2 linked regions of the Kluyveromyces lactis genome follow. Each later gene encodes a partner of the first gene's protein in a complex. Links are inferred from orthologs where the notes say so. Each region holds a gene or a part of one and is shown on either strand. Other genes may lie near its edges.

Region 1 (2,912 bases):
GTACAGGATAACAAACTAGACGTAAGGCAAACCATTGTTCAGTCAATTCGTGATCTTATAGATGAAATTAAAAATATCGATGAAGGTATTCAACAAATAGCTATTGAATTGATTCATGATCGTGAAATCCTACTTACCCCTACTCCAGACTCTAAAACCGTTCTTCGTTTCCTTCTGAAGGCTAGAGAAGGTAATAATAGAAATTTTACTGTTTTAGTGACTGAAGGATTCCCTAACAACGCAACCGTGGCTCATGAATTCGCTAAAAAATTAAGTGAACATGACATTGAGACTATTGTAATCCCTGATTCAGCTGTATTTGCATTGATGTCGAGAGTGGGGAAGGTCATTATAGGAGCTAAAACCGTTTTCACTAACGGTGGAACGATATCTTCGACTGCTGGTGTCTCCTCTGTATGTGAGTGCGCAAGAGAGTTCAGAACACCTGTATTTGCCGTTGCTGGTCTTTATAAACTTTCTCCATTATACCCATTCGATGTTGAGAAGATGGTAGAAATTGGAGGATCTCAGAACGTATTGCCTACAACTGAGAATGATAGAGTAGGTACCGTTGCTTTAGAAACGATAAATCCAATTGCTGACTATATTCCCCCGGAAAACATCGATATTTATATCACCAATATTGGCGGCTTTGCCCCAAGTTTCATATATCGTGTGGTATGGGACAACTACAAACAAGAGGATGTAAACCTCGGGGAAAAAATATAACGATCCATGCATGTCTGAAATAGATTTAATTTAAGATACGATCTGTTCTAAGAAACTCAGCATTCATTGTTGCATATTTCTTATTGATGTATCTGGTAATTCAAACCTTAAACATCGATTCTTGTTCTTATAATACCGATGCCCTGTGCCTCGCTCGGTTGAATGTATCTGAAACTTTCAATCTTGAGCTGGATGGTTAATGTTTATTGTTCAATTATGAATTAACGAAACATTTATGACTAATGGGCCACATCGAGTTGACTTCTTTTGAGTACGAAAAGGCCCTATTTTGAAATCAATGACCTTGACCCGTAATTAGAAGTTCACACATTCTTAGATAGTTTACCAGTAGATGCCTAATTTGGCTCATAGCTTTTTGTTGAGAAACAAGGGATCCTCTTCTCAACCGCAGCAGTATTCAAAAATTATTTGAAGGATTGATCCAGGTTCCATTCTTGATAATCGATAGTGGAGTATCCGCTCCTTATTCTCGTATCCTCCTTGTAGTAAACTAAATTTAACTTGAGCCAGTGCAGTGATTGATGCGACCATCATGAACTCTGGTCACGTGACTTGGTTGTTCCTCTCCACAAATGCTTCTGCGAAGTTGAGATTTGCCGTTTCAAAGCTAAAATGATGGTCACTCCGCAACTGACAATGAATAAATGATGAGACGCATTGCTTTATCAAAAAGGGTCCTTTGTATACCGGAAGCCATTGATATGAGTCGCAAATTGATAGTACTTGGTGGTACTGGATTCTTGGGGAAACGTATCTGTGAAGCTGCTGTTGGAGCAAATTTCCAAGTAGTTTCACTATCGAGGTCGGGAAAGGCTACTTCATCTGAACCATGGGCAAATGAAGTTGAATGGAGATCTTGTGATATTTTTAATCCTGACACATATGCACCAGTACTTCGTAATGCCACTGATGTAGTTCACAGTCTAGGAATACTTTTGGAGAATGAGAATTACAAGAAACAAATCAATGGTTCGTTTTGGTCGGTACCGAAGTTATCGTTCGGAGGGTTTGGTAAGAACCCATTGGCACCAAAAAAACCTGAGAGATCGAGATTTACATACGACATGATGAACCGTTATAGTGCCACCTTACTTGCAGACACTTATATGAAGGTGAACGGTGGTCAAGCTCAGACTTTCAGTTACATTTCGGCTGACAGAGGATTCCCATCAATTCCAAGTGGATACATTGATTCTAAGAGACAGGCCGAAGAACACATTTCCCAATACGGGAAACAGATAAGGTCCATCATTTTAAGACCTGGGTTTATGTTTGACGAAAGAAACTCTGAATCGGATGGAAGAACGCAGATTCGTAATTTCTTGCAAATGTTGAACTGCGGTAATGAAATGGTACTTAGACAAAAGATACCGTTTGTCAACGACCTTGTGCGACCATTAATCTCTACACAGCAAGTAGCACACTCGTTAATATTAGCATTACAGGATCCCAACTGTGAAGGGGTATTGACCTTGGACGAAATGCTCAAGATGTAAGAGAATGTATCTTTTATTTAAAACGTGAGAAATAATATTACAAAAAGTACTTTATTAATGAAGAGTTATAATAAACATGCGATGAGATATATGTTCCTTTTCTAAAGAAACAAATGCAGTATTGGGAAGGAACCAGTCAAAAAGGGTATATAGACTAGGTGATATCACTTCAGAGGATCTCTCTCTTCGAAGTTTTCTTTTTCCAAATTTCGTTTAATTCATCCGGATCTCGTGGCTCTGTCATCGGGACGCAAACGTCCACTTCTCCTTGCAGCTTGACGAACCTTCTGTAAGATAAATCTCTAATCATCAGGCAAAGTAAAATGCCACTTAAGGCCACGAAGAATGCGCTAACTAACATCAACCAACTTGACCACGTGACGTGGGATGCAAACATTAAAACGTCAATAAGGAATCCCAAGAGGGAAACCATGAAAGTGACCATGGACCAGCCCACGGCGAAAAGTAACACACTCTTTGAAGTGTTTAACCATTTAATACATATTAGAATGGCAAATAACCAAAACACCAGTACGCATACAAAAGACAATACATGAACCAGCAATAACTTCGAAAGAGCGTACTTAGCATGGTTTGGTAGATGAAGGTATTCATTATCATTGAAGAGAAGGATATCATCCAATGAATATCCCATACGTATTGGGG
Region 2 (2,809 bases), on another chromosome or scaffold:
TTCAAATGGATCTATGGACGGAATTGTTCCTGCTGAATGCCTCATCGAAGTTTGATTTTGATGATAAAAATAATGCCAGTAACGGTAATGCTTGGTATAAAGACCGTTCTGATACTCAGGAAAAGATAGTTCCTAAAGGTTTCAATGATGAAGAATCCTTTGATACAAGCGGCGGATCTAGTTTCATAGAAAGTCTAATGTCAAACATGGATGGTTTTTTCTCCACAGCTTCTACCATAATGGAGTCTTTATCGCCGCTGAAAGAGTACACTACTGATTATTCGAAAATAGAGAACCGTGAGTCGGTGTATGGGATCCCACATGGTTCTAAATTTTTTGTTATCAAGTCTTTCAACGAAAGAAACGTTAAACTTGCACTACAAAATAGTGTATGGTCTTCGACACGCAAAGGGAACAGAAGACTTGAGAGAGAATACCATAGTCTTGCACCAGGTGCTAAACTTTTCTTATTATTTTCTGTTAACAAATCTGGTAAATTCTGTGGCATTGCAGAGATGTGCTCGGATCTCATAGAAAATGATCCTCGCGCCAATATTTGGGAAACACATACTGATTCGTACACTTTCCCACATTTATTCCAGATAAAATGGTGGTATGTGAACGATGTGAAAGTGCGTAGATTCAATCATTTGGTTTGGGAAACTGATGGTGAACAGAAATCATTGGGCCATGGACGTGATACAGAAATTGTTCCGTTCAATATTGGACACGAAATTGTTGCTATTTTCCACAACTCATATACTAAATCGTCTCTACTATTTTAAATCTTGTTCCAAGAAAGGTCCCTAGAACTTTGCGACGGTTACACACGCGGTGACTGAATGTAATATAGCTAATGTATATAGTTGCTAAACTAGTAACTATATGATGGTGAACTTCCGGTATCAATCGCTTGGGTTACATTTCAAAACCCCCTTTAAAGGGTTTGGGAATGGAAACTGTCTCTACTAGGATCCACATCGAATAGCTTCCACTTGCCAGAGGTTTAGGTTTTACTTCTTGCACCTGATTCGATGACAGCATTTCTTCAAGCCACTGGCGCAAAATCGGGTAACCCAATAATATTTCCTTATACTGACAATCAGCAGATCATGGTGAAAAAGCACAACTTTGATATAGAATAAAGGTATACTATATAAATGGCTGGGGTATTGCTCTTCAAGGTTTAATTGTACAAGCAGTTCTTCATCAGGACAAGTATTTGTTGGTAAAGTTTGGCAGGTTAATCGCTATCTTACACTTCAAAGTTTCGCCCTTTCAATTGGCTTTTGGTATCAAGTTAGCGAATGCTTCGTACGTGCTGTAGGAGAGCCGTCCCGCTAAGACAGTTTTCGGTCTTATCTACCTTGGGCAATAGTAGCAATGCAGGGGAGCATAGAGCGGAACCTAATGAGTCTGCTGAATTGACCAAATTCAAGCCAATGTCAGACGCTCAGCTAGCATATTTGGATAGGGTGGTTAGGGTGGACCAGGCTGGTGAATTAGGAGCAAATTACATTTATGCGGGTCAATTCTTCGTACTTGCCAATAGATATCCACATTTGCGCCCTGTGTTGCAACATATGTGGGATCAAGAGATTCACCATCATGATACATTCAACAATTTACAGCTGAAAAGGCGTGTGAGGCCTTCATTATTGACACCGCTTTGGAAAATTGGAGCATTCGCAATGGGTTCTGGGACAGCTTTCTTGTCACCAGAAGCGGCAATGGCATGCACGGAAGCTGTCGAAACTGTTATTGGGGGGCATTATAATGACCAGCTTCGCTGTCTCAACAATCAATATGAATTGGAATCAGAAGATGGAACTAAAGTTGGACAAACTGTAGAATTGAAAAATTTACAAGCTACTATCAAACAATTCAGAGACGAAGAATTGGAACATTTGCAAACAGCTATTGATTACGATTCGCATAAGGCAGTCCCATACATTCTTTTGACGGAGGGGATCAAGACTGTTTGCAGAGTTGCGATTTGGGCAGCGGAACGTGTGTGAATGGTTGGCCCTTCTGACAGTACGCTAACCCTTTCTAATGAACCGTGATGAATACGTGATAAGGCATATTTGGTTTTATATATACAGATTGGAGAAGTATTATAGTATCGTATACAAACGTATATATTACACTGATGATATAGTTACACCCATACACGTTGGAAACTAACGTAAATCAATGTTTCAGGAAGAGAACCGCATGCTCCATTATCAAAAAAGAGCACATTAAAAGAAACAGTCAGTATGAATATGACTTTAAGACTAACAACTTCAAGCCAAAAAAAGTGCCCCCGCCTAATTGCCGTGCAACCGTTGAAAACTTACACTAAGTAAGTTGTATGGAAGCAGGTTACACAAGGGTCATACCAATCCATCATAAAGATTCAATGCCCCTACTATAGATGGATCGACCTTCGATCCGTCTCTAAATTCATCTAACGTAATACAACCATCTTTGTCTTTATCCATAAGCCTAAAGATCTTTTCTACCCTTAACTCTGGAGTAGCTTCATCGTCACTTAGTTTTACCATGTTCCCGATCATTTTATAAATACTTGACACTATGGTCAACATTTCTTCATATGAAATTACGCCATCGTGGTTTAAATCATAGAGTTGGAAAGCCCAGACTAACTTTTCCTCTAAGGAGCCCCTGGAAGTGGTGCTTAATGCTGTGATAAATTCTTTGAAGTCAATGGATCCATTATTATCCTTGTCAAACACGCTAAACACATACGTAGCAAACTCATCTGGCGAGCCAAAGGGGAAAAATTGTTTGTATATCTTGATGA

The links.
Region 2: COQ11 (region 1) and CAT5 share a complex: the UniProt entries of both Saccharomyces cerevisiae proteins name them as parts of the multi-subunit COQ enzyme complex. The link is inferred for Kluyveromyces lactis from reciprocal best matches to the Saccharomyces cerevisiae genes COQ11 and CAT5.

What each region holds. Positions count from the first base shown.
Region 1 is NC_006037.1:400,279-403,190, reverse strand, and holds COQ11 (ubiquinone biosynthesis protein COQ11), read left to right. Parts: upstream 1-1,394; coding exon 1,395-2,246; downstream 2,247-2,912. Other genes in the region: KLLA0_A04433g (translation initiation factor eIF-2B subunit), read left to right, coding at 1-729; KLLA0_A04389g (SUR7/PalI family protein), read right to left, coding at 2,416-2,912. UniProt on the Saccharomyces cerevisiae protein: Component of MIOREX complexes, large expressome-like assemblies of ribosomes with factors involved in all the steps of post-transcriptional gene expression. Component of a multi-subunit COQ enzyme complex required for coenzyme Q biosynthesis.
Region 2 is NC_006041.1:223,389-226,197, reverse strand, and holds CAT5 (putative monooxygenase CAT5), read left to right. Parts: upstream 1-1,307; coding exon 1,308-2,018; downstream 2,019-2,809. Other genes in the region: PHO92 (mRNA-binding phosphate metabolism regulator), read left to right, coding at 1-785; FRQ1 (frequenin), read right to left, coding at 2,379-2,809. UniProt on the Saccharomyces cerevisiae protein: Catalyzes the hydroxylation of 2-hexaprenyl-3-methyl-6-methoxy-1,4-benzoquinol (DMQH2) during ubiquinone biosynthesis.